Linked DNA regions of Anolis sagrei. The protein of the gene in region 3 interacts with the protein of the main gene of each other region in a biochemical or structural test. Links are inferred from orthologs where the notes say so. Each region holds a gene or a part of one and is shown on either strand. Other genes may lie near its edges. The genes, in order: MTA1, EPO, HIF1A and USP20.

What was found.
Region 1: the proteins of HIF1A (region 3) and MTA1 form a complex in vitro, tested with the Homo sapiens proteins (2 studies listed by BioGRID). The link is inferred for Anolis sagrei from reciprocal best matches to the Homo sapiens genes HIF1A and MTA1.
Region 2: the proteins of HIF1A (region 3) and EPO form a complex in vitro, tested with the Homo sapiens proteins (2 studies listed by BioGRID). The link is inferred for Anolis sagrei from reciprocal best matches to the Homo sapiens genes HIF1A and EPO.
Region 4: of the proteins of HIF1A (region 3) and USP20, one has a biochemical effect on the other in vitro, tested with the Homo sapiens proteins (2 studies listed by BioGRID and IntAct, with this or other methods). The link is inferred for Anolis sagrei from reciprocal best matches to the Homo sapiens genes HIF1A and USP20.

Annotation. Positions count from the first base shown.
Region 1 is NC_090024.1:132,906,139-132,913,024, forward strand, and holds the start of MTA1 (metastasis-associated protein MTA1), read right to left. Parts: upstream 3,039-6,886; 5' UTR 2,845-3,038; coding exon 2,817-2,844; intron 1-2,816. UniProt on the Homo sapiens protein: Transcriptional coregulator which can act as both a transcriptional corepressor and coactivator. Acts as a component of the histone deacetylase NuRD complex which participates in the remodeling of chromatin.
Region 2 is NC_090026.1:2,690,835-2,698,452, reverse strand, and holds the start of EPO (erythropoietin), read right to left. Parts: upstream 3,001-7,618; 5' UTR 2,732-3,000; coding exon 2,719-2,731; intron 1-2,718. UniProt on the Homo sapiens protein: Hormone involved in the regulation of erythrocyte proliferation and differentiation and the maintenance of a physiological level of circulating erythrocyte mass.
Region 3 is NC_090021.1:332,082,719-332,090,754, forward strand, and holds the start of HIF1A (hypoxia-inducible factor 1-alpha), read right to left. Parts: upstream 3,008-8,036; 5' UTR 2,845-3,007; coding exon 2,801-2,844; intron 1-2,800.
Region 4 is NC_090031.1:3,029,824-3,036,994, reverse strand, and holds the start of USP20 (ubiquitin carboxyl-terminal hydrolase 20), read right to left. Parts: upstream 3,012-7,171; 5' UTR 2,709-3,011; intron 242-2,708; exon of another isoform or gene 204-241; intron 1-203. Other genes in the region: C11H9orf78 (splicing factor C9orf78 homolog), read left to right, coding at 4,627-4,715, 6,913-6,972.

The DNA.
Region 1 (6,886 bases), on a different chromosome or scaffold from region 3:
GATCTGCATGGAGGAATGGGCTAACATACCAACAACAGTATGCGCCAAACTTATGAGGACTTCCAGAAAACATCTGACCTCTGTCATTGCCAATAAAGGATATATAACAAAGTATTGAGATGAACTTTTGTTATGGACCAAATACTTATTTTCCACCACAATTTGCAAATACATTCGTCAAAAATCAGACAGTGTGATTTTCTGGATGTTTTCTCATGCTGTCTCTCATAGTTGATGATGTCAATTACAGGCCTCTCTCATCTTTTTAAGTGGGAGAACTTGTACAATTGGTATCTGACTAAATACTCCCCCCCCCCACCTGTATGTAAAATATGGCACTCCAGACAAAGCACAGTGATAAATACTGAGGCTCCATCTACACTAGGGCAAACTTGGGCCCTCCAGGTGTTTTGGACTTCAACTCCCACTTTATTATGACTTGAACTGTCATTCAATTTGATGTCCTATATTATATTAACTGATACTGTTAATTTGCTCTGTTTCCATGATTTTTCCTATGCCTTCATACATTGTCATCTACCTTACTAAACCACTTTATCCTTTATCTAGTTCACGTAGTGGTTTTCCTCTCCCCAAAATTAGTCTGCTGTTATTGTTGTTGCTAGCTATTTTTGTTATGTTGTTTTATGCTGTTTTATTATTATTATTATTATTATTATTATTATTATTAACTTTATTTGTACCCCGCTAGCATCTCCCGAAGGACTCGATGTGGCTTACAAAGGCCAAGGCCTCAATAAAACAACAATACAACAATACACATAAACCATAAAACAAATGAAAACATTAAGCAATAACAGTAAACAGTAAAAACATTACACCGTAGCACAATAAAACTAAGGCCGGGCCAAGTGTAGATGGGTACAGATTAAAAGTGCTGAGTATGACAGTTGAAATATAAGGATTTTTCGGTAAGTGCAATGTGCGAACAATCTTAAGTCTCTAGTAAAGTGCTTCTGGGACACGTTGCTGGGGTTTTAATTGTTATTGCTTTATTTTAATTGTACTCTGCCTGGGCTTGGGCCCCATGTAAGCCGCCCCGAGTCCCTTCAGGGAGTTTTTTTTTTTTTTGTCGTGTCAGGAGCGACTTGAGAAACTGCAAGTTGCTTCTGGTGTGAGAGAATTGGCCGTCTGTAAGGATGTTGCCCAGGGGACGCCTGGATGATTTTTGATGTTTTATCATCCTTGTGGGAGGCTTCTCTCATTATTTTTTGTCGTGTCAGGAGCAACTTGAGAAACTGCAAGTTGCTTCTGGTGTGAGAGAATTGGCCGTCTGCAAGGATGTTGCTCAGGGGGTGGCCGGATGATTTGATGTTTTTATCATCCTTGTGGGAGGCTTCTCTCTCTCTCTCTCTCTCTCTTTTTTGTTGTGTCAGGAGCGACTTGAGAAACTGCAAGTTGCTTCTGGTGTGAGAGAATTGGCCGTCTGCAAGGATGTTGCCCAGGGGACGCCTGGATGATTTGATGTTTTTATCATCCTTGTGGGAGGCTTCTCTCATGTCCTTGCATGAAGAGCTGGAGCTGTTAGAAGGGAGCTCATCCGCCTGCCCCGGATTTGAACTTGCGACCTGTCGGTCTTCAGTCCTACAGGCTCAAAGCCAACCTTAAAAACTCTGGCATAGACACTGAGAACTGGGAAGCCCTGGCCCTTGACCACTCCAGCTGGAGGTCAGCTGTGACCAGCAATGCTGCAGAATTTGAAGAGGCACGAATGGAGGGTGAAAGGGAGAAGCGTGCCAAGAGGAAGGCACGTCAAGCCAACCCCGACCAAGACCCCCTTCCACCTGGAAACCAATGCCCTCACTGCGAAAGAAGTTGCAGAGCAAGAATAGAGCTCCACAGCCACATACGGACCCACAAGAATATTGGGAGACAATCCTCCTCGGAAAACGAGGGATCACCTAAGTAAGAAAGGAGGTGGCAGGCCCGTAGCCAGGATTTTGATTTGGGGGGGGGGGGGCTGAGTCTGAGTGAAAGAGGGCCTACGCTAGCAAACCTTTTGTATCATTACCCCAATACCCCCATGCATGTATGGTGATCAGATCATGATATGAATAAACATAACAGTTTAAATAATGCACCAGTAAGGCCTTTTCGTGAACCACCATGAGCATTTCGGGGGGGGGGGGGGAGGGGGCTGAAGCCCTTCAAGCCCCCCCCCCCCCCCCCGGCTACATGCCTGGGAGTCAGGGTAGAAAAATAAAGTTCTTCTTCTTCTGGCTGTTAGGAATTGTGGGAATTGAAGTCCAAATCACCCGGAGGTCCCAAGTTTGCCCATGCCTGACCTACACTGTCGTGTAACAATACAGTTCCAAACAGGCAGTGGAGATGGGGCTTGGGCCACTCTTTCCCGGCTACTGAGGAAGAAGAGTTGGCAACAACAAAAGGGACCGCGCTCCACAGTCGGCATCAGCCCTCTTGCTTTGACAGAAGGGCTCAGGGACCGGCCTGCGTGGGCCACAGAGGGCTGCAAACGTGACAGGCGCCGGGCATCCTCTGGGAAGCTCCAGCCCAGGCCTCCTCCAACTGCGCGGGCCTACAACTCCCACCGAACAAGCGGGGAGTTGGAGACCCCCACAGCTGGAGGGCGCCTGGTCTTGGCTGAACCCCCGCGCAGCCTCACTCCTGGAGCATCCGGCCGGTGGGAGGGAGGGAGGGAGGGGAGGCCTCGAGCTGCTTCCCAGAGGCGGCTCCACTCACTCCTCAGCCCGCCTTCTCGCTGCTTCAGAGACAATGCCTCACGGAGCAGGCCCGGCCCAGTCTCCTCAGGGATGCCGAGCGAAGGGAGAGCTTACCTCCGACGCGGTACATATTGGCAGCCATGCCGGAGAAGGAGGGAAGGAAGAAAGGAAGGAGGGAAGGCCCGGCGGGGAGGACTACTGTCTCGGCCCCTCAGAGAGGGAGGATGCGGGAGAGAGGGAGGGAGGGAGGGGCAGGGCAAGGCAGCCTGAACGGCGCGGCGCCTCCAGTCCGCCGCCGCCTCAGCCTCGGCCCCTGCCCTCGCGGACGTGGCTCCGCCCCCGGGCTGCGCGAGACCCAGCAGGCTGCGCGCGCACTCCGGCTCTGGAAGGGGAGGGGCGAAGGAGCAAGGGCGGGAAGCGCGTGGTGGGGCGCCTTTTGCAAATAGGAGGAAGGGAGGCCGCCAACGAAGAACTGGCTCTTTGGACAAGCCTTTGGAATATTTTTAATACTAGTAGCCAGCTCTTTGTTGCTGACTTGCTCTTTTATTGTCACCCCACACCCTTCCCATTGCTCTAAGTCACCACCAGTTTTCCTCCTCTAATTTTGTTGTTCATGTTTCAGATGCATATAATATTGCCGGTAGAACTGTAGTGTTGAGTATATCTGCTCAGACCTTCATTGGCAGATTATTAAATGTTAGCACTGTCCAGTTTAGATTAAAAGCCGCCCAAGGAACCTTGGGTTGTCTTGCCTATTCACCATTTGCCAAATTATAGGGCTGTACTTGTTGTGAAAGTGCTGAGAGTGCCTTGGACCGCGAGAAGATCCAACCAGTCCATCCTCCAGGAAATAAAGCCCGACTGCTCACTGGAGGGAAAGATACTAGAGACAAAGTTGAAGTACTTTGGCCACATCATGAGGAGACAGGAAAGCCTAGAGAAGACAATTATGCTGGGGAAAGTGGAAGGAAAAAGGAAGAGGGGCCGACCAAGGGCAAGATGGATGGATGGCATCCTTGAAATGACTGGACTGACCTTGAAGGAGCTGGGGGTGGTAACGGCCAACAGGGAGCTCTGGCGTGGGCTGGTCCATGAGGTCACGAAGAGTCGGAGACGACTGAACGAATGAACAACAACAACAACTTGTTGTCCAAGATATACATATTCAGTCACTTACTCAATTTCATCTCCATTTATAACAATAGTTCCCAAGCTTTTTTTGACCAGGGACCACTTTGACCAGAGACCACTCTCCCAACATTAGTACCAAAAGGATAATAATAATAATAATAATAATAACACTTTATTTGTACCCCGCTACCATCTCCCCAAGGGACTCGGTGTGGCTTACATGAGGCCGAGCCCAAACACAACAATACAAGCAATAGTAACAACAATACAAGCAATTAAAATAAAAACATAGACAATAAAATATACAACATTATCAATAAGACAACACACAATTAAAAACAGTGGGAAGGCCAAATGTAGAGTTAAAATTAGAAATAATGCTGGGACATGGACGAAAAGGTGATAGTGGTGTTTGCGGAAGGGCATACGAGCAGACCTAAAGTAATGTAAGGTGCTTTGGAGGACAAAGTGCTATGGGATCATTATTCCCGGAAGGCACACTGGAACAGCCATGTCTTCAAGCTCCTCCTGAAGACTGCCAGTTAGGCCTGTCTGATGTCTTTAGGGAGTGAGTTCCAGAGTCGAGGGGCCACCACCGATAAGGTCCTCTCTCTCGTCCCCACCAATCGCGCCTGCGATGTTGGTGGGATCGAGAGCAGGGCCTCTCCGGATGATCGAAGGGATCGTGTGGGTTCGTATACAGAGATGCAGTCACGCAGGTAGGCATTATGAGTCAGTTTTTGTCAATTTTAGATTCGGTTTGGGATGCTGATTCAGAAAATTACATTGAATAGACCACATCAGCTATAGTTTCTGATACAGAACATATGCCATCCATCCCAAAGCTTTTAATTGACACCTAAATATTGCTTGGTAAGAACAGGAAGCAGAAAGTGAAATAACTCATTCCAAAACAAGACTTAGAACAGGTGTGTTTCCAATTCAGTTTTATTAGTGGTGCATTAATATAATAAAATATTTAATAAAGTAGTCTACATTGCAGTTTATTCCAAAAAAAAGCTATATACATTTACAGTCTTTAAAAAAAATACAATGAAAAAGATGGACTGATTAGAAATAGATATCCCTTCATTTGACAATTTGAGCAAAGTTCTATTGTCTAGCAAGTTCACTCTTGACAAACCTCCCAAGTTGTACCCTGAAGGATGTACAGGCTGAAACTGCCAGTTATTTCCTTCAAGAGGCAAGATATCCTGCCTCAACTGTTTCTCTTTTTAAGGAACTTTACAAATTAGTTATTTTGCCATGTTTTCCTTCTTGTTCTTGCTTAAAACTTCGGAGCCACTGTTCTGAGTAAGCGATTTGGAAACAAAGTGCAGCAAAGGTTCTTTCTACACCACCCTATATCCCAGGATCTGATCCCAGATTATCTGCTTTGAACTCAATTATATGCATCTCCACTGCCAGATAATCTGGGATCACATCCTGGGATATAGGCCAGCATAGAAGGGACCTTCGATACTAAATCCATTCTTTTTATACTGTTCAATCAGTGGGGTCCAAATGGCCTTGAAATGGGAGAGGTAGTTTTTGACAAGGACTTTAATATAAACAATATCATCATGCTTGTTTTATGTATATTTATACTTCAAGCGATGGCATAATACTGAATAAGGTGGGAAATTTCCTCCCATCCATTCCCCCTCCATTATTGCCACTACTTGCCCAACAACTGGATGCCTTGATGTGAAGCCTAGTTTACAGCTATCTAAGGGATTTTCCTTGTTGGGCCCTTCTGAGTGATGCAATGACAACTTGCTCTGTGGGGACCACTTGAAAACGAAATCCGGAGTAGGCAGGAGCCTCACACTAAGATACTAATGAAGTTACTTCAGGGAACCACAACTGCCACTCTTCTGCTGTAGCATTTACTACAGCTGTGAAAGAGAGCCATCCTGCTCATGGGGACCATGAGGGTGGGACTAATTCATCCATCTGATGTGAGGGATTAATCTCATCCCTTTGACTTTCATTCATCACTGAGTCAGAAATCTTACATTTTATTACCATTTGGTCCCACTCTTTACACACAAACACACACCATATTCCTATGTCTATCTTCCAATGAACAGATACTCCATACAGGCAACTCCAATGTATGGAAATGTAGCTCTATTTGTGTATAAAGTGGCATGAGACACTTGCTACTGAACAAATTACTTTTCAGATAAAAATATCTACATAGGCAAAACAGAAAACATGGGATTTTCATTTCAGTACCTGTCTCTAGCTAGACATAACAGACCCATTCCTTAGGCTGAATGCTACAAGAATTTACGTACATAAAATCACAGTGGCACAAGGCTAAGCCAATGCATTGCAGGCACGGCTTCTGTGGTGACCTACAGTAAACTCTAGGAAAGTGCAGATGATCCTGGAGCTACACCAGACTTTTGGAACTTATTATGGAAAATGTGATCACACCAGTAAAGCATTGGGAAAGGAAGAACTCTAGAACCTCCAGCGGTGTCTGTGGAGTCCTCAACTAAGAATTGCAGCCCATCTTTCCATAATGGTATTGCTTCACTTCAGAGAATCAGTCCAACATGGACAAAAGAGGAGTTGTTTATTTTTTGGCTTGAACCAGCTGGTGAAGGATTTTGGCATGCCGGACTGTTCTGGAATAACCTGTGGGCTGCTTGTAATAAAACAAATGTCTGCTGTTTATAGTTCTGTCCAAATGTCTACCTATTTATTTACATTTTTATATATATCTGGCCCAATCTTAAAATGTTTTTGGCATCTAAATACTACCAAGGAGAAAGTCTGGTGAATTTTTCTCATGAGAGCATTCCATGGGAAGAGAACCACCAGAAAGAAAGTTCTTTCTCTGGCAGCCACCCATTATACTATTGTGGATCCTAAAAATTATTATTTAATAATAAGTTTGGGCAAGTGTACTATTGAACTTCACTGTTGCTAAATTACCAAATCCTAGCATCCCAGCCAGCAAGTAGCGGGTTAAACTGTCAGCTGCAGAAAATCTTGCTGACCAGAAGGATGGCAGTTCAATTTGCGAGTCAGGGTGAGTT
Region 2 (7,618 bases), on a different chromosome or scaffold from region 3:
GGATGGCCCAGGAGGTCTCTTCCAACTCTTTGATTCTAGGATTCTATGATTCTATGTTAGGAATGGTGGGAGTTGGAGTCCAAAACACCTGGAGGGAGGGCCCAAGTGCAAATGTGTCACTTGGGTACAGTCTTCAAGACTTTGGGGGTGGCTTCCCTGCTCGATTGGATCTCCTGCTTCCATTCGCATGCTTCCCTTTGGCGCAGAGGGATGCCGTTCCAAATTCCATCCCAGCTGCTTTCGCATGTGCCGAGTTCCTGAGCCTCTGGTGTTGACAAGGAGGCTTATCGCTATCTCCAGTCCTTCACACTTTAACTCACCAAGTTTCTCTCCAGGCCCTTGAAGGGCAAAAACAGGCCGGACAGCCTGGGAAACAACGTTTGCTTTGGGACTACAGCACCCAGCATCCCCAACCCTGGGAGGATTGGGTCAGCCTTATCCAAAATGTTTTGGATTCGCATCAATGTCCGTAATGAGATGTCTTGTATATAAGACTCCTGGTCTTTAGAGCTATATAAATTGATAAAGTTCCAGTTTATTTCCTCAACAACTCCCACATTTGGCCTGGGGATTCTGGGAGCTGTAGTCTGAACACAGTGACTATTTCCAGTCCTTGCCACAATCCTTCTTCTTTCCTAGATTGAGAATAGAAATTTTGGAGGACTGCATAGAATCATAGACTCCTAGATTTGGAAGAGACTCCAAGGTCCAGCCAGTCCAACACCATCTAATCCCTCCTGAAAGATGGCCATCCAGCCTCTGAATCATCGAATGCTTGAGTTGGAAGAGAACCCAAGGTCCGTCCAGTCCAACACCATCTAATCCCTCCTGAAAGATGGCCACCCAGCCTCTGAATCATCAAATGCTTGAGTTGGAAGAGAACCCAAGGTCCCTCCAGTCCAACATCATCTAATATCTCCTGATAGATAGCCATCTACCCTTTAAATCATCGAATGCTTGAGTTGGAAAAGAACACAAGGTCCCTCCAGTCCAACACCATCTAATCCCTCCTGGAAGATGGCCATCCACCCTCTGAATCATCAAATGCTTGAGTTGGAAGAGAACCCAAGGTCCCTCCAGTCCAACACCATCTAATCCCTCCTGAAAGATGGCCATCCAGCCTCTGAATCATCAAATGCTTGAGTTGGAAGAGAACCCAAGGTTCCTCCAGTCCAACATCATCTAATATCTCCTGACAGATGGCCATCCATCCTCTGAATCATCAAATGCTTGAGTTGGAAGAGAACCCAAGGTCCCTCCAGTCCAACACCATCTAATATCTCCTGACAGATGGCCATCTACCCTCTGAATCATCGAATGCTTGAGTTGGAAGAGAACCCAAGGTCCCTCCAGTCCAACCCCCTTCTGCCAAAAAGGAAGACACCATTGAACCTCTCCTGACAGATGGCCATCCAGCCTCTGAATTGTACATCTTAGAGTTGGGAGAGTCTCCCAAAGGTCATCTAGTTGAACCCCTTCTGCCATAAAGGAAGACACCATCTAATCCCTCCTGACAGATGGCCATCCAGACTGAATCACCAAAAGCTAGAGACCGAAGAGACACTGTGGGCTATCCAGTCCAATCCCCTTCTGCCATGAAGGAAGACACCATTGAATCCCTCTCAACAGATGGCCAACCAGCCTCTGAATTACAGAATCTTAGAGCTTGGAGAGACTCTGCTGTAGAGGGAAACACCATCTAATCTCTCATCACAGATGGCCATCCAGCCTCTGAATCATTGAATGCTAGAGTTGTGAGAGACTCCTAAAGGTCATCTAGTCGAACCCCCTTCGATCGTCAAGGAAGACACCATCTAATACCTCCTGACAGATGGCTATCCAGCCTCTGAATAATCCAATGCTAGAGTTGGAAGAGACCCCAAGTCCATCCACTCCAACCCCATTCTGCAATAAAGGAAGGCACCATTGAATCCCTCCCGACAGATGGCCATCAAACCTCTGAGTCACAGAATCTTAGATTTGGGAGAGACATCCAAAGGTTATCTAGTCGAACCCCTTCTGCTGTAAAGGAAAACATCATCTAATCCCTCCCAACAGATGGCCATCCAGCCTCTGAATCTTGGAATGCTAGAGTTGGGAGAGACTCCCAAAGGTCATCTAGTCAAACCTCATTCTGCAGTAAAGGAAGACACTATCTAATCCCTTCCGACAGATGTGTACCCAGCCTCTGAATCATAGAACCCTAGGGTTGGGAGAGACTCCCAAAGGTCATCTAGTCCAACCCCCTTCTGCTGTAAAGAAAGACACCATCAAATCCCTCCCGACAGATGTGTACCCAGCCTCTGAATCATAGAACCCTAAGGTTGGGAGAGACTCCCAAAGGTCATCTAGTCCAACCCCCTTCTGCTGTAAAGGAAGACACCATCAAATCCCTCCCGACAGATGACCATCACAGAATCCTAGAGTCGGAAGTAAGCTGAGGCTTGGTCCATGCCTTGATTCAATGGCCAGTTCTCCGGACCAGAACCAAGACCCCTTTCTCTGCCCTCCGGAGCCAAGGTGAGAACATACAACAACAGAGAACATGGAGAACATAGAAAGCTGGCTCCGGTGCCCTGTGCCCCCCTTGGCTCCCTGCCGGAGCCCAGCTTGCCAATCCCCTTGGCAGCCACCCAACCCAACCCAACCCAACCCCGATCGATGTATGGATCGATCGATGGTTGCTGGAGCTGCCCCTTGGCCGGGACGGCGACTCACCAGGTATCCCCATAGCCGAAAGCGCATGGCCTTAGCGACTAGCGGACCCCTCCTGCCCCATGGCTAGCCATGGGCTTCCACTGCTGCGGGTCCAAAATGAGTTGGGGGGCTGCCTTCGGTGTCACTCCAAGTCCATGGGGACCCTCAACTACGATGCAGGCTTCCAGGTGAGTCCATGGAGCGGTCACGGGAACGTCCAGCGGTCTGGCCAAAAGGAGCCAAAGGGCTGGCCGTTGCTCTCGAGGGATTTCTCAGAACCTTAGCAATGTGTCTCCAGGTGCCTTCGTCCACGGAATCGTCCGGCAGTTGAGATGTCCCTCTTCTTTGGGAGCGTTCGTCTCTCCAGGCCACTCAAAGTCCAGGTGAAGAGGTCAGAGGTCAGTCTCCAGGTGTCCTCAGCCACAGTCCACGCCTCCAGGTGAGTCTTCAGAGGAGCCACTCGGATGTCCAGCGCTCTGGCCAAAGGGAGCTCTCCTCTGGCGGCTAGGTGAGACTGACGATGTCCAGGTGAGTCTTCTGGGCTCAGATGTCCACTTTGGATTGCAGGCCGCTCCAAACCAGTCTCGCCCCTCAGCCACCAGTTTGGGATCCCAGCATATCGGTGATATTTTCCTTCTGTGGCGACCCCCTGGTCTTTCCACGGCAGACCCCAGGAGCTGCGTAGCGGCACGAGAGGCGGTTAATGTTTCACCCGGTGTCCTTTTGCAGCGGTCCAAAGAGGACTGACTCCGGCCGGCCCTTCCCTGCAGAGGAATGGCTCTGGGCCGGACCTCAGCCAGAGGGACAGTTATTCTCTCCAGGCCGGAAACTCCAGGCTTGAGCCGGTGGGCATGGCAACCCTCCTCCTCATCATCACCAAAATCATAATATTGATGGTGATGAAACCTGCGCCGGATCAAGCCCCAGCGCCTGCGAGAGAGTGGCCCATGCCACAGGAGGCACGTCGGCGCTCTCTGGCCGGAGTCCAGCCAGCCACAGGTCCAGGCGCGAAGGTGGGAAAGGTCAGCCTCCTGGCAGCCGGCCAAAGGCAGAGAGTGCGGACACCGGTTGTTGCGGCCAAAAGGGGGCTCTGGGGAGGAACGGTCACTTCCTCTGGGTTTGGCCACAGCAAAGCCACCTGGAATGGACATCACACCAAGAGGGGGTGGGGGATGACCGGCAAATTCTCACAATTTGGTTGTACCCTCCTGCGGCCCCAGGTGGCCCTTTGGACTTGTGCCTCTCGGTCAGAACTATAAATCACCATTTCCAGTCACATCTGGAACCACTGAATCAATTGTGTTCGGCTCTCTTTGCAGCCACTGAATCTAGTTTAATGGGGGTCCAACCAAAACTGATGAATTCTGACATTTGTGGGGTCTTCAGAGGTCATCTAGACAGACCTGATCTGAGTTTGGAACCTTTTGCCAAATGCTACAAGGAAAGATGCCTCGGTCCCTTTGTGTCCCATCCAATAGGTAAGGTAAAGTTTTTCCCCTTGACATTAAGTCCAGTCGTGTCCGAATTTGGGGGTTGGAGCCCATCTCTATTTCTCAGCTGAAGAACCGGCGTTGTCCGTAGACACCTCCAAGGTCATGTGGCCACTGGCAGGACTGCATGGAGTGCCATTACCTTCCCACCAAAGCGGTACCTATTGATCTACTCACATTTGCATATTTTTGAACTGCTAGGTTGGCAGAAGCTGGGGCTAACAGCAGGAGCTCACCCCAGATTCGAACCTGCAACCTTTTGGTCAGCAAATTCAGCAGCTCGGTGCTTTAACCCACTGCGCTATCCAATGCCCACCCTTTAAATGATCAATTCTGACATTAATGGGGTCTTGAGAGGTCATATAGATGGACCAGATCTGATCTTGGACCCTTTTGCCCGAATGCTGCAAGGAAAGATGCCTCAATTCCTTTGTGCCCTATTCAATGCCCACCCCCGCTTTAAAGGATAAATTCCGACATGCATGGGGTCTCCAGAGGTCATATAGAGGGACCTGAACTGAGCTTGGACCCTTTGCCTAAATGCTGCAAGGAAAGATGCCTCGATCCCTTTGTCGCCTATCCAATGCTGCCACCCCCCTTTAAAGGATGAATTCTGACATTCATGGGGTCTCCAGAGGTCATATAGACAGGTCAGATCTGAGCTTGGAGCCTTTTGCCCGAATGCTGCAAAGGAATGATGCTTTGGTCCCTTTGTGTCCCATCCAGTGCCCACCCTTCAAATGATGAATACTGACATTTGTGGGATCTCCAGAGGTCATATAGACAGGCCAGATCTTACCTCTGGAGACCCCACAATGCTGCAGGGGAAGGATGCCCACCAAGCTGTGAAACCTTGACAAAGGGGTCTCCAGATGTCATATAGACGGGCAAGATCTGACCTCATTCCCTTTGCCAAATGCTGCAGGGGAAGGATGCCCACCAAGCTGTGAAACCTTAGCAAAGGGGTCTTCAGAGGTCATATAGATGGGCCAGATCTGATCTCATTCCCTTTGCCAAACACTACAGGGGAAGGATAATGGAGAAAGGCAGGGAGTGTCAGAAAAACATCTATTTCTGTTTCATTGACTATTCTAAAGCCTTTGACTGTGTGGATCATAATAAATTGTGGCAAGTTTTTCGTGGGATGGGCATCCCAAGCCCCCTTCCCTCTCTCCTGAGGAATCTGTACAAGGACCAAGTAGCAACAGTCAGAACTGACCACGGAACAGGAGATGGGTTCAAGATTGGGAAAGGCGTCCGGCAAGGCTGCATCCTCTCACCCAACCTTTTTAACGTGTATGCAGAACACATCATGCGAGGATGTGCGGGGTTTGAGGAATGCAAAGCTGGGTGAAAATTGCTGGAAGAAACATTAACAACCTCAGATATGCAGATGACACCACTCTGATGGCCGAAAGCGAGGAGGAGCTGAGGAGCCTTCTCATCAAGGTGAAAGAAGAAAGCGCAAAAGCCGGGTTGCAGCTCAACGTCAAAAAAACCAAGATTATGGCAACAAGAATGATTGACAACTGGGAAATAGAGGGAGAAAAGGTGGAGGCCGTGACGGACGTTGTATTTCTAGGCGCAAAGATGACTGCAGATGCGGACTGTGGCCATGAAATCAGGAGACGCTTCCTTCTTGGGAGGAGAGCAATGTCCAGTCTCGATAAAATAGTCAAGAGTAGAGACATCAGACTGGCAACCAAGATCCATTGCCTAGTCCAAGCCATGGTCTTCCCTGTAGTCACCTCCGGATGTGAGAGCTGGACCTTCGGGAAGGCTGAGCGAAAGAAGAGAGATGCTTTTGAGCTGTGGTGTTGGAGGAAAGTTCTGAGAGTGCCTTGGACTGCGAGAAGATCCAACCAGTCCATCCTCCAGGAAATGAAGCCCGACTGCTCACTGGAGGGAAGGAGACTAGAGACAAAGCGGAAGTCCTTTGGCCACATCATGAGGAGACAGCAAAGCCTAGAGAAGGGAATGATGCTGGGGAAAGTGGAAGGCAAAAGGAAGAGGGGCCGACCAAGGGCAAGATGGATGGACGGCATCCTTGAAGTGACTGGACTGACCTTGAAGGAGCTGGGGGTGGTGACGGCCGACAGGGAGCTCTGGTGTGGGCTGGTCCATGAGGTCACGAAGAGTTGGAGACGACTGAATGAATGAACAACAACAAACAGGGGAAGGATGCCCACCAAGCTGTGAAACCTTAGCAAAGGGGTCTCCAGAGGTCATATAGATGGGCCAGATCTGACCTCATTCCCTTTGCCAAATGCTGCAGGGGAAGGATGCCTTTGCTTCTGCCATCGATTGATGTGGGATCCAGGAAAGGTTGGGACGTTGCCACTGGAGAGGTGCCTCCTTGCACCCTCCCCTTTCCAGCAGTAAACATGGCAGAACTCCCAGTCCCTCCCTGGATTCGCACTGAGTGCTTGGGGTGCGCCTCTCATCCAAAATTAAGCAAGGAGACAAAGCATGTTCCAATTCTGTGCATCTATGGCTTTGTGGTTCTTTCCTATTTGGGATGTTGGCGGAAGCATCTCCCTCCTTCCCTCCCTCCCTCCCCAACTCTCGTGTCCTTTGACCCTCTCTGCCTTATCGAAGGGTCAATACCAGCCAAGGTTTGGCTCCGCATCCGGTGCTGTGTGTTCCGGACACAACCCTGGACATTGCCAAGATTGGCTTGGACTGCTAAGCCAGGGGCTGGCACTGACCGGTCTCAGGGAGTGACCACCAAGGAAAGGGACTCTGCAGAGTTTGGGTTTCACAGGCTTTGGGGAAAATATCCGGTGTGGCTCTTGCGCACTTCGAAGGGGCAGCTGGTGCGCTGACCACCAAGGAAAGGGACTCTGCAGAGTTTGGGTTTCACAGGCTTTGGGGAAAATATCCGGTGTGGCTCTTGCGCACTTCGAAGGGGCAGCTGGTGCGCTGACCACCAAGGAAAGGGACTCTGCAGAGTTTGGGTTTCACAGGCTTTGGGGAAAATATCCGGTGTGGCTCTTGCGCACTTCGAAGGGGCAGCTGGTGCGCTGACCACCAAGGAAAGGGACTCTGCAGAGTTTGGGTTTCACAGGCTTTGGGGAAAATATCCGGTGTGGCTCTTGCGCACTTCGAAGGGGCAGCTGGTGCGCTGACCACCAAGGAAAGGGACTCTGCAGAGTTTGGGTTTCACAGGCTTTGGGGAAAATATCCGGTGTGGCTCTTGCGCACTTCGAAGGGGCAGCTGGTGCGCTGACCACCAAGGAAAGGGACTCTGCAGAGTTTGGGTTTCACAGGCTTTGGGGAAAATATCCGGTGTGGCTCTTGCGCACTTCGAAGGGGCAGCTGGTGCGCTGACCACCAAGGAAAGGGACTCTGCAGAGTTTGGGTTTCACAGGCTTTGGGGAAAATATCCGGTGTGGCTCTTGCGCACTTCGAAGGGGCAGCTGGTGCGCTGA
Region 3 (8,036 bases):
GACAACTGAGCTCAAAGCAGATATTGTGGGATTTTCTGCCTTGATATTCTGGGATATAGGGCTGTGTGGAAGGGCCCTTTGAAGGAAGAAACTGGATTTGGTGGGGGGAAATGGGGGTTATCACTTGAACCTGGGGAATAAAGGCTCAGATCTGATTTGGGATTGTGAAGGCCTTTTTACACTGCCATATAATCCAGAATATCGAGGCAGATAACCCAACATGACCTGCTTTGAACTGATTACCTGAGGACCCTTCCAGACAGGCCCCTATATCCCAGGATCTGATCCCAAGTTTTCTGTTTATTCCAGATTTTTGAGGCAGTGCGGACTCATATAATCCACTTCAAAGCAGAAAACCTGGGATCAGATCCCGGGATATAGGGCCTGTCTAGAAAGGCCCTGAATAAAATTCCACATTTTCTGCTTTGAACTGGAATATACCAACTGATGCTCTGGGCCAGAGTGAAAGGGGGGCAGGGGACAGTTCCATCTTGTCTACTGCATATGTCATCAGTTGGGGACCCCTCCCCCCAGCACCAACTGCTGCTCTGGACCAGAGTGAAGAGAGAGGGACCAGAAGACAAGTCCACCTTGTCTCCTGTGCTATGCTAATAATATAATACGTCCTGTCTTGCAATTTAAGATCATCCGGGGAGACCCTGCTCTCGCTCCCGCCAGCGTCGCAAATACGTCTGGCGGGGACGAGAGACAGGGCCTTCTCGGCTGTAGCCCCCCCCCCCCCCCCAGCTGTGGAACTCGCTTCCCAACGAGGTAAGACAGGCCTCATCCCTCCTGTCTTTTAGGAAGAAATTGAGTCGTGGTTCTGGGACCAGGTTTTTGGACAGCAGACATAAATAGCGCTTTGGATATGGAATTTGGCTGGAATGGTGATACGGTGGTTAATACTGTTTTTATTGTTGTTATATTGCTTTGTTGTATTTAATGGCATCAAATTGTTGCCAAATGTAAGCCATCCTGAGTCCCCCTTCATGGGTTGAGAAGGACAGGATAGAAATGCTGGAAATAAATAAATACTACAATATAATACTACTACTAATAATAGGATATAATAATTATATATTTCATATTACATGTAATATTACTAATAATATTGCAACATGATGGTATAGCACGATATTGCAATATATAATACTGATACTATACTATGCTAATATCAGGGGTTGAGAAGTAGAAATGCTGGAAATAAATAAATAATACAATATAATACAACGAATAATAGGATATAATAATTATATATTTTATATTACATGTAATATTACTAATAATATTACAATATAGTGGTATAGCACAATATAGTAATATATAATACTGATTTTGTATTATGCTAATAATATTATATATATATATATGTGTGTGTGTGTGTGTGTGTATATATATATACCCATACACACACACACACATATATATATCTTGTAAGCCATCCTGAGTCCCCCTTCAGGGATTGAGAAGGAACGGGGGTAGAAATGCTGGAAATAAATAAATAAAACAATACTACTACTAATAATATGATATTATAATTACATATTTTATATTACATGTAATATTACTAATAATATTGCAACATAATGGTATAGCATGAGATAGTAATATATAATACTGATACTGTACTATGCTAATATCAGGGGTTGAGAAGGACGGGGTAGAAATGCTGGAAATAAATAAATAAATAAATAATACAATATTACTACCAATAATATGATATTATAATTTATATATTTTATATTACATGTAATATTACTAATATTAGTAATAGTATTACAATATAGTAGTATCCTTCTAGCCATTTCAGGGGTTGAGAAGGAATGGGGGTAGAAATGCTGAAAATAAATAAATACTAATAATAATAGGATATTATAATTACATATTTTGTATTACATGTAATATTACAATATAGTGGTATAGCACGACGTAGTAATATATAATACTGATTTTGTACTATGCTAATAATATAATATATTGTATATGTGTGTGTATATGTGTGTTTATTGGCCTATTCATTTTGACTAACCCTGTATTACATGTAGTATTACAATATAGTGGTATAGCACAATACAGTAATATATAATACTGATTTTGCACTATGCTAATAATATAATATATTGTGTATGTGTGTGTGTATTGTAAACCACTCTGAGTCTCCTTTGGGATGAGAAGGGTGGCATATAAGTGTTGTAAATATATAATATATAAATAAATAATAAATATGGCAGTGTGGGCTCAGATAACCCAGTTCAAAGCAGATATTCTGGATTATCTGGCAGTGTAGACCAGGCATGGGCCAACTTGGGCCCTCCAGGTGTTTTGGACTTCAACTCCCACAATTCCCAACAGGCTGTTGGGAATTGTGGGAGTTGAAGTCCAAAACACCTGGAGGGCCCAAGTTGGCCCATGCCTGGTCCACACTGCCAGATAATCCAGTTCAAAGGAGATAATGTGGATTGTGTACAGATGTCTAGAAGAATGGAGAATGAAGGTAAGGACTACAGATGTCTAGAAGAGGCCTGAATGGAGAATGAAGGGAAGGAAGGAAGGTGGAAGAAAGAAAGCAAAGAAAGAAAGAAAAATTGGGAATAATGGAAGAGAAGTCTTCCTCCTCTCCTCCATCATCAACAACAAAGGGAAGGAAGGAGAAAGGAAGGAAAACAGAAAGTTCAGAAGGAGCAATAACAGAGAGGAAGGAAGTTCCACCATTCTCTCCATCTCTCTCCTCCCCAGGCATTCATTCCTACAGGAAGGAGAAGAGCAAGGCCTGCCTCCTAATCTTTCTCCTCCTTCGTACCTTTTCTTCTCGCTGGAGCCTCCCGGGGTGGCTCCGGGCTCCATGGCGGCCTCGTCGCCGTCGTCGGCGGAGGACGAAGAAGCCGAGGAAGCCAGCTTGGCCGGAGAGGAAGGCCGAGGGACACAGAAAAGGGAGGCCGAAGCAGGGAAGGCAGCCACCGCGAGGCTCTCTTCACTCTCTCTCAGCGCGGTCTGAGGAGGAGGAGGAGGAGGGGAGGGGAGGGGGCGGGGCCTATTCCCGGCTGGCCCGTCACGAGCTCCGCCTCGGCCAATCGGGAGGCGGCGCGAGGACCGCCGCCCGGAGGGGGCGTGGCCCCGCCCGCCTGCCTCACGTGAGTGTCTCCCTCCCCCCGCCGGTTGCGCGCGCAGAAGGCAGGAAGGGAAGGCGGCCTCCTCTTTATCCTCCTCCTCCTCCTTTTCTCCTTTTCTCCTTCTTTTTCTCCTCCTCTTTCTCTTCTTCTTCCCTCCTCTTTTCCTCCTCTTCTTTTCCCTTTCTTCTCTTCTCCTTTTCATTTTCTCCTTTTCTTCTTCTTTTCCCCATCCTCTTCTTCCCCCTACTTCTCCTTATCTTTTTCTTCTTCCCTCCTCTCTTCTCATTCTCCATTTTCCTTCTTTTCTTTTCCCTTCCTTTCTTCTCTTCTCCTTTTCGTTTTCTCCTTTCCTTCCCCTCTTTCTCATCCTCTTCTTCTACTACTTTTCTTTTCTTCTTCCCTTCTTCCCTTTTTTCTTTTTTTCGTTTTCTCTTCTTATTACTCATTCCTCTTCTCCTCCTCCTACTTCTCTTTCTCTTCTTCTTCCCTCCTCTCTTCTCGTTCTCTTCCTTCTCTTCTTTTCCCTTCCTTTCTTCTCTTCTCCTTTTCGTTTTCTCCTTTCCTTCCTCTCTCCCCACCCCCTTCTCCTCCTACTTCTCTTTCTCTTCTTCCCTTCTTCTTCCCTCCTCTCTTCTCATTCCTCTCTTTTCCTTCGCTTCTTTTCCCTTCTTTTCTTCTTTTCTCCTTTTTTGTTTTCTCCTTTCCTTACTCTCTCTCCATCCCCTTCTCCTACTTCTCTATCTCTTCCTCCCTTCTTCTACCCTCCTCTCTTCTCATTCTATTTTCCTTCCCTTCTTTTCCCTTTTTTCTCTTCTCCTTTTCGTTTTCTCCTTTCCTTCCTCTCTTCCCCATCCTCTTCTTCTCCTGATACTTCTTTCTCCTTTTCTTCTTCCCTGCTTTTCCTCTTCTTCTCCTTTCCCCTTTCTCTTTTTTTTGATTTTCCTCTTTTTCTTCATTTTTTCCTTTCCTTTTCTCTTTTTTGTTTTTTTCTCCTTTTCTCCCCCTTTTCACTTTCTTCTGTTTCTCTTTTTCTTCACCCCATCTCTCCTCCTCTTTTTCACTTTCTCCTCTTGTTTCTGTCCTTTTCTTCTCTTCCATTCATCCTCTTTCCTTCTCTTCTTTTCCCCATCCTCTTCTACTTTTCTTTCTCCTCTTCTTCTTCCCTGCTTCCCCTCTTCTTCACCTTTTCTGCCCACTAATCCTCTTCCACCCTCCTTTTCTTCTGATTTTCCTCTTTTTCTTCTCTTCTTTTTCCCCTTCCTTTCCCCTCCGCCTTTTAGTTTTCTCCTCCTTTTCTTCCTCCTCTTCTCTTTCTTCTATTTTTCTCGTCTTCTTCTTCCCCTCCTTATTTATTTACTGTACTTTTTACCTCGCTCTATCTCAACCCCGAAGGGGACTCAGAGCCGCTTCCAATTGCCAATCATTCAATGCCACATAAAAACAAATAAAATACATAGTAGATTATAATCAAAACAGTAACATATAAATACATTTAAAATAAACAGTTTAAAACAGAGCACATGGTCGACTTGTTTCTTTATCTTTCCTTGCTTCTTTTTCCTGTCTCCTCTTCTTCTCCGTCCTCCTCTACTCTTACTTCACTTTCTCTTCTTCTTCCCTGCTCCTCCTCTTCTTCAACTTTTCTTCTCACGTCTCTTCAATTCTGATTTTCTCTTTTCCTTCTCTTCTTTTTTCCCTTCCTTTTCTCTCCTTTTTGCTTTCTGTTCCTGTCTACTCCCTCCATTCCACCTCTTCTTCTTCCCCCATCTTCTCTTCTTTTTCACCTTGATCTCTCAACTTCACCTCCTCTTCTTTCTTTTCCTTCCTCCTTCTCTTCTTCCTCCCTCCTCATCTTAATCCTTTCTCTTCCTTCTCCTCTTCTTCCATGCTCCTCCTCCTCACCACCACCACCATCTTCTTCTCCTTCACCTCCTCTTCCTCTTTCCCTTCTTTTCCTCTTCTCCTCCTCTTGTCTTTTGTATGGACTTCATCATACATAGAGGTAGGTTGTTAGGAATTGTGGGAGTTGGAGAATCAATCAATTTTAAATCTGGTTGCTGCCTTCTGCAGAATTCTGGTGTTTGTAGTTTGGGGGTAACCCTTTAAACTGCTCAGATAAAGAGATCCCAGGCCTCCCTAAACTACAAACTCCAAAATCCTGCAGGAGGCAGCAATCAGATTTAAAGTGGATAGATGCTCTAGTGCAGACATGGGCAACATTTGGCCCTCCAGATGTTTTGCACTTCAATTCCCACAATTCCTAACAGCCTAGTACTGAGAAATTGTATTGAATGGCATCTACGCTTATTATTTAATGCAGTTGCAAGCTGACTGGAAACTGCAGCATCCATAAGTGGAGGTCAAGGAAGCCTGTCTTTGAGGCTGGAGTGGGCGTCTACATTGTGCTCAGTTTCACCCTGGACTTGGGATCTTGGCAGGACTTTTTAAAATGCATATTATACCTGCTGGGGGGGTTTGCTGGTTGCTTAAAAGCTCCAGTTGCTTGATTCCTCGTTAACTGAGAGTCTGCTGGATATGTGTGTGTTATAATAATGATGATATCAATAAGACATCCCATTATTTGCCAAGAGTTCCTGAGGAGGCCTTGAGTCTCGGGGTTTATTTTGGTCCCGCATGAAGCACCAAGAATGCCTCTGAGTACATGCAGAGTGTAAGCTAGCCATCATGCATCTATTATCACATGCATGGGCAAACTAAGATGTTAGGAATTGTGGGAGTAAAAGTCCAAAACATCAGGAGGACCAAAGTTTGCCCATGCCTATACTATCAGGAAGATGGTGAAGCTTCAAAAGCTTGCTTGATGTGTTGTCTTTATTTTGATTGTCTAATAATCTTTTGAGGATGTTATATTTTGTTGTATTCCAGAGAGGTATTTGTATCATAGCAGAAAAGCCTCTAGACGTAAGGTTCTGCCACTTCCTTATATGCATTACACGGCTCCTAAGTGATAAGGTTTTGTTTATTTAATTCCATCTTAAAGTAAAGTTTAACAGGGCAGTTTACATACAATAAACATAGAATATAAGAACAGGAGAAAACTGGCAGTTGAAGGCAATACAATAGCCAATCTGCTTAAAGCAAAAAGGTTATATTTTATTTCGTATCGAAATCATTGCATAAATTAGTATAAAACTGATAAAAAATAGAAGGCGTACAGGCGGCTAAATATCTTTTCACCAAAAACGAGCAACAGCAACGGCATTGTCTGTAGCCTCCAACAATTCCTCCTCTGTACATGAGGCAGGACACAGTGGACAGTGTTCAACCTTATTTCTCTCACATTTAGCAGCAACTTCCCATCACACATCAGGAGGGGCATCCCGAGCTCTGAGGATTACCTGGGAAGGAATCCCACTGGAGCATTGCAGCGCACCCAAATACCTGGGAGTCACTCTGGACCGTTCTCTGACCTACAAGAAGCACTGCCTGAACATCAAACAAAAAGTGGGTGCTAGAAACAATATCATACGAAAGCTGACTGGCACAACCTGGGGATCACAACCAGATACAGTGAAGACATCTGCCCTTGCGCTGTGCTACTCTGCTGCTGAGTACGCATGCCCAGTGTGGAACACATCTCACCACACTAAAACAGTGGATGTGGCTCTTAATGAGACATGCCGCATTATCACAGGGTGTCTGCGTCCTACACCACTGGAGAAATTACACTGCTTAGCCGGTATTGCACCACCTGACATCCGCTGGGAAGTAGCAGCCAATAGTGAAAGGACCAAGCAGAGACATCTCCAGCTCATCCCTTGTTTGGGTATCAGCCAGTATGTCAACAACCTAAATCAAGAAATACTTTTCTTAGATCTACAGAGACACTCGCTGGAACACCTCAGCAAGCGAGAGTTCAAAAGTGGCAGGCTCAAACCCAACACCTCAATCCGTGGGTGATACCAGATGAGAGACTCCCCCCTGGGCACACAGAAGACTGGGCGACTTGGAAGGCGCTGAACAGACTGCACTCTGACACCACGAGATGCAGAGCCATCTTAAGAAATGGGCCTCAAAGTTGAATCCACGACATGCGAGTGTGGAGAAGAGCAAACCACTGACCACCTGCTGCAATGCAACTTGAGCCCTGCCACATGCACGATGGAGGACCTTCTTGCGGCAACACCAGAGGCACTCCAAGTGGCCAGATACTGGTCAAAGGACATTTAATCAGCTACCAAGTTTGCAAAATTTGTGGGGTTTTTTTATCTGTTTGTTTGTTTTGTTCTGTTAGAAATGTAATACAATGTTCTGGTTGCGGATGACACGATAAATAAATAAAATCAGGAGGGGCAATGCCAGCTAGCTTTTGTAGAGTTTATCAACAGGTGTAGGTTGAAGACATCCTGTGATTATTCTGCATGTTTCATCCAAAAGCATTGCTTTTAAACATTTGAAGTGAAAAGGTAAAGTTAACCCATCAATTTTTTTCTCTAATTATATGCATAGTTATTTCCTATTCATGACCAACATTGTGAACATAAATGAACTGATCAAAAAAATGTAAAACCAAAACTTTCAGCATGTTTGGCCTTTTATTTATTTACTAGCTTGGGGACCCAGTGATGCCCAGGCTATTTGAGATAGGCATTGTTTGTCTGCACTCCAGTTGGAGTCTGGATCCAATGTCAGTTGGCTTCAGTGGGTATAGGTAAACTCCAACTCCCATATGTAAGTCCCATCGTCTGTGGTCCTTCCTCCTCCAAATGGCACCAGGATATAGGATGGATCATGAGGACTCTGTATGCCAAGTTTGGTCTTGATCAGTCATTGGTGTGAGTCACAGTGGTCTCAGGAAGTGACTGAAGGTACCATCAGGGGCGGCTCAACCCATTACGCAAAGTAAGCATTCGCAGTATAGTTGGTTTGGCCCAGGGGTGCTCCTGAGGACCTCTTGGGGGAAAA
Region 4 (7,171 bases), on a different chromosome or scaffold from region 3:
CTAAATACACTCTTAAGCCAAACCTAATTCACATCCAAGGTATTTCCTCTCCCAGCTAATTCAATTCTACTCCTCAAATCAATGCTCCCCCCCCCCCCCCCACCATACTGTGTCCCAAGCACAAATTCAGCCATCCATGGTTTGAAAAATATATTTTTTTAATTGGGGAGGGGATCCGTTCTATATCAGGAGCTTCATCTTACTATGAGCATGCAAATCTCAGGCCGCAGCACAGCTTCAGGTAGGGAATAGATTCCGATTATTTTCCTGCCTCCTGCCAGAAATAAAACCTCCAAGCGGTCACGTGACACTGAACAGCTGATTGTTCCTCCCAATAAATGAACATGCCATTATTCATCATTTTTCCTCACAGAAGCATCCCTGCCACTCTCCTTTCTGCCCTTGGCTTCCCATTTCTCCTTGTGCCACCATCTTCCCAATATTAAGAGTCTTGTGTGTGTGTGTATATATATATAGATAGAGAGAGAGAGAACACACACACATACATATATATACATACACACATAAAAACTGCTTTCAATTTATGGTTAGATATTATAAACACGACTATATATATATAGATAATATTGATATAGTAATATATAATACTGATATTGTACTATGCTAATAATATAATATATTGTATGTATATATATCTTGTAAGCTGCTCTGAGTCCCCTTAATTATATATTTTATATTACATGTAACATTACTAATAATATTACAATATAATGGTATAGTACAATATAGCAATATTTAATACTGATATTGTGCTATGGTAATAATGAAATATATTGTATGTATATATATCTTGTAAGCCGCTCTGAGTCCCCTTTGGGGTGAGAAGGGCGGCATATAAATATCATGAATAAATAAATAATAGTAGTAATAATAATACTAATAATAATTGTGTCTCCTGCACTGGGCTAATAATATAATATAATATAATATAACATATTGTGTATATATATAATATTTATAATGTTATAATGTAATACAATATAATACTAATAATACGATATTATAATTATATATTTTATATTACATGTAACATTACTAATAATATTACAATATAATGGTATAGTACAATATAGCAATATTTAATACTGATATTCTGCTATGGTAATAATGAAATATATTGTATGTATATATAACTTGTAAGCTGCTCTGAGTCCCCTTCCGGGTGAGAAGGGCGGCATATAAATGTCGTAAATATATATATATATATATATATATGGAGCCTCCAGTGGCGCAAGTTGTTAAACATAAGTGTGTATGTGTGCATGCGCTATATATATTGCATACAATATGTTAGTACAAACAATATTTATTTATTTATTTATTTATTACATTTATATGCCGCCCTTCTCACCCCGAAGCGGACTCAGAGCGGCTTACAAGATATACATACATACAATATATTATATTATTAGCATAGTACAATGTCAGTTATATATTACTATATTGTACTAATATGTTAGTACAAACAATATTTATTTATTTATTTATGACATTTATATGCCGCCCTTCTCACCCCAAAGCGGACTCAGAGCGGCTTACAAGATATATATACATACAATATATTATATTATCAGCATAGTACAATGTCAGTATTATATATTCCTATATTGTACTACACCATTATATTGTAATATTATTAGTAATGTTACATTTAATATAAAATATATAATTATACTATTGTATTATTAGTAGCTTTATTGTATTACATTATAATATTATAAATATTATATGTATATACAATATATTATATGTGTGTGTATTAACACAAATAAACGTGAACAGCATATATTCATATATATATATATATATATATATATAGCATTCAATATATTCATTCCAAATATATAAGCTGTGTGTATTCTATACATATGTGTGTAAACACAAATAAGTGAACAGCATATATATGTATATATAAAGTACATATAATATATTAATTCCAAATATATAAGTGCTCTCTCTCTCTCTATATATATATATACACACATATATACAGCTTATATATTTGGAATATATATATATATATATTTGTCAGCACAAACAAAAATAAATAGCACAGACACATATAGATATGTATGTATAGAATACACACTGAGAGAGAGCTTATATATTTGGAATGAATATATTGCATGCAGTTTATATATATTTATATATGCTGTTTTCTTATTTGTGTTTACACACATATGTGTAGAATACACACAGCTTATATATTTGGAATGAATATATTACATATATATATATATGCTGTTCACTTTTATTGTGTTAACAAACAAACACACACACATATATATATACAGCTTATATATTTGGAATGAATACATTACATGCAGTTTATATGTGTGTATGTGTGTGTGCATACACATACACACACACATGCTGTTCACTTTGTGTTAACACACAAACACACATATATGTATAGAATACACACACAAACATATATATACACACAGCTTATATATTTGGAATGAATATATTGCATGCAGTTTATATATATAGATATAGATATGCTGTTCACTTTTATTTGTGTTAATACACACACACATATATATGTATAGAATACACATACAAACATATATATGAACTACAGGCAATACATTAAGCAAAACAAATGATATATATAGATATACACAATATAATAGACAATACAAATAAATCTATAAGTGTAGAAACCCCCCCCCCCCCCAAAATACCTGAGGGGCCCTTCCCGGGAGGGCGCCTCTTTCCCGGGGCGGCGTTCTACGCGAGGCCGGTGCTTAGGCGCCCGGCTAGGCCTCGGTTCGCTTCCCAGGCCTGAGGCCCAGCAATAGCCTTCCTCCGCCCTTCCCTCCCGCGAAGGGCGGCCGCTCGGAAGCCCGAGACAAGAGAAGGCCGGAGGCGGCGAAGAGAACGCCGGCGGAGGAGAAGAACCCTCTGTGGCGGCGCTCCAACCTCAGCCCTCAAAACGTTCCGGACTCCAACTCCCAGAAACCCTCGCCGGCTTCTTCAATGGCTGGGAATTCTGGGAAATGAAGTCCCAAGCGGCTTGGCGCGACGCCAATGGACGGAATCACAATGAGAAAGCGGCTTCAAGCGTTCTGGACTCCATTTCCCAGAAGGCCTTGACAGCTTGTTCAATGGATAGGAATTCTGGGAAATGAAGTCCAAAACACAGGTTGAACGGACCAATGGGAAGGCGCCAATGGAAAAGGGGCGGGAAAAACAAATTCAGGCTGCTTTTCTCTGAGTCTGGACTTCATGGTCTCTCAATTGGACACAACCACAACAACAACAACAACAACAATGGCTGTATGGGAGAAAAAAGGTAGGAAAATAGGATAATATTATTTATCTATTAAATGAACTGCATGGTCTAAGATTGACATAATAATAATAATAATAATAATAATAATAATGCTCAAGATCCTGCAAGGAAGACTCCAGCAATACATGGAGCGAGAGTTGCCAGATGTTCAAGCTGGGTTTAGAAAAGGCAGAGGAACGAGAGACCAGATTGCCAATATCCGGATGCTGGAGAATGGAGAAAGGCAGGGAGTGTCAGAAAAACATCCACTTCTGCTTCATTGACTATTCTAAAGCCTTTGACTGTGTGGATCATCATAAATGGTGGCAAGTTCTTGGTGGGATGGGCATCCCAAGCCCCCTTCCCTCTCTCCTGAGGAATCTGACCAAGGACCAAGTAGCAACAGTCAGAACTGACCACGGAACAGGAGACAGGTTCAAGATTGGGAAAGGCGTACAAGGCTGCAGACTCTCCCCCAACCTTTTTAACGTGTATGCAGAACACATCATGCGAGGATGTGCGGGGCTTGATGAATGCAAAGCTGGGGTGAAAATGGCTGGAAGAAACATTAACAACCCCAGATATGCAGATGACACCACTCTGATGGCCGAAAGCGAGGAGGAGCTGAGGAGCCTTCTAATCAAGGTGAAAGAAGAAAGCGCAAAAGCCGGGTTGCAGCTAAACATAAAAAAACCCAAGATTATTGACAACTGGGAAATAGAGGGAGAAATCCTGAAATCCCCAAATCCATGACGATCGAAATTTCACACTTTTGTGCACTTAAGGAAACATATTGGAATTTCGCATCTAGGCTTGGGACCACCTGTAAGATATCTAATTAAGTATGCATATTATTCAAATACAGGATATGTTTATGCAAATGTAGGTGAAATCCCCAAATCCATGACAATCGATATTTCACATTTTTGTGTATGTAAGGAAACCTATTGGAATTTCGCACCTAGGCTTGGGACTACCTGCAAGATATCTAATTAAGTATGCACAGTATGCAAATGCAGATGAAATCCCAAAGTAACAATTAGTTTTTAAATTATCCAGATGCTTCTGTGTTTCTTTAGGCATTTTAGACCCTTATTGCATTGTATTCAAAATCTGACTAGCTTCTCTATATTCACCCCAAAGGCTTGTTTTGCCCAATGGCTGCATCCTTGTTTTGCCCTCACTTCAGCCAGGGCGGAACTGGCTTCGGCGCACGTTGTCGACGTCACCTGCACGCGACGCTCCCGCCCGTCAGAAAGCGCTTTCCTTCAGGTTGAGGCCGAGGAGGGGGCCTTCGGAGGGGGCCGCGGACATTGCTGTCTTCCGCAATGCCGGCGGGGAAGTGTTTCCGCCGGAGGAAAGCGGATTCCGAGGAGGAGGAAGATGAGGAAGACCAGCACCTCACCCGGGAAGTCCGGTCAGTATTTCCCCTCCATTTCTGGTGTTGTGAACGGCCTTCAGGCCCATTTCCAGTGGCGAAGAGCATTCGGCGCCATTTTGGGCCCGCGAAGGCTCATGGGAGTGGTAGTTCCGCAAAGGATTGGCCCGCCCTGCTTTAAAGGGACTGTCGCCTCCCTAGAACTACAACTCCCAAGCGCTATCGCGGGTCGCCAGGGCAGTTCGAATGCCATTAAATACAATGATCCCCCCCCCCGCTTTTTTGCAAGGAGAAATAGAGTAATAATCTACACATTCTATTCTATATTATCTTCTATCTATACACATTCATACACACACAGATATATATACATTCATACGCAAAATACATACCAAATAATCTATCTACATATTCTATATTCTATCTAAACACATATACATACATACACATATAGACACAATGCACACAGAATAATCTACACTTTATATTCTATATTCTTTTTGTCTATACACGTATATACACGTACACATACAGAATAATCTATCTACACATTCTATACACACATAAACATATATACATTCATATAAACATAATACATACAGAATAATCTACACATTCTATTATATATTCTATCTATGCACATGCATACATATACATTTATTTATTTAAAACATTTGTATTCCACCCTTCTCACCCTTTCGGGGAATATATAAGGGACTAAGGGCGGAGCACAGCATATACACAACAAACATTCCATGCCGGGACACAAATTCACACACATAAACATTAAAAAATTATCTCAATATTAAAATACACCATTTAAAACCGTCCTAGTCATCCGTGTAAAATCTAATTGGCCTGGACATCTTTCCTATTGCTGTTTTATTGCATACATACAGAATAATCTTATCTATACGTTCTATATTCTTTCTATACACACACATATATATATATACATACATACACATAATAAATACAGAAGAATCTATGTATTCTATTTTTTTCTATCTATACACATACATATATATGCACATATACACATACATAGACATATATACATGTACACATACATACACATAATAAATACAGAAGAATCTATGTATTCTATTTTGTTCTATCTATACACATAGATATATATGCACATATACACATACATAGACATATATACATGTACACATACATACACATAATAAATACAGAAGAATCTATGTATTCTATTTTGTTCTATCTATACACATACATATATATGCACATATACACATACATAGACATATATACACGTACACATACATACACATAATACATACAGAATAATTATCTACACATTCTATTCTTTGCTTTATTCTATTCTATCTATACATATACGTACATACACATATATCCACATACATACACATAATACATACATACATTACATATAGTAATATGATATAATAATAATAAATCCCTCCCTCAAAAGGACATAGCAGCAGACGCCATGAACACGTCTTTCAACCTCTGCCTCATAACCCGAGGATGATGGCCCTCCAAGTGCAGTGTCTTGGCAGTGGGTCTGTAAGTGCCTTTGGCCCGCATGTTCTTCCACAGTGAGAGCATCGGTTTCCAGGTGGAAGGCGGTCCCGGTCAGGGTTGGCTTGACGCGCCTTCATCATGGCACATTTCTCCCTTTCGCCTTCAATTCATGCCTCTTCGAATTCCACAGCACTGCTGGTCACAGCTGACCTCTAGCTAGAGCGCTCAAGGGCCAGGGCTTCTGTGTCTCTGCCACAGTTTTTAAGGTTGGCTTTAAGTCCCTTTTTCAATCTCTTTTGCTGTCCACCAGCATTATGTTTCCCATTCTTGAGTTCAAAGAATAGTAACTTCTTTGGGTGATGGTGATCTTTGGGCATTCAGACTAACGTTGCATTCAGTCCAGCAGAGTTGATGGCAGAGGACCATTGCTTCAATGCTGGTGGTCTTTGCTTCTTCCAGCATGCTGACATTTTCCTGCCTCTCTTCCCAAGAGATTTGCAGGATTTTCCGGAGGCAACGCTGATGGAATCATTCCAAAAGTTGAGTTTGACGTCTGTAGACAGTCCACGTTTCGCAGGCATATAGCAGGGTTGGGAGGATACAATTTAAAATTCATAGTTTAGCCTTGGCTGGATCGACCTGAAGAAGAGAGAGGCTTCGTTCCGTTTGAAATTCTGGCAGAAAGGATTGAATCTAGCCTTTGTTTTTCTCTCTCTCTTCTCAGGTTGAAACTGGAGGAAGCCAAAGAAGTGCAGAATTTGAGGAAGAGACCAAATGGCGTCAGGTCGGTGTTTTATTTTATTTTATTTTGATCCTACTTTTCTCCCAAATGTCTCATGTCGATCCCAAGGTAACACAATCCAGGAATTGCCAAAAAATTATAATTACAGCATAAGTCCACAAGCAAAAGGTATCCTTAGTAAAACTTGAGCAGGAATACAAAAACAAGAGCATAGAACACTTCCAGGATACTTCAATCCAAA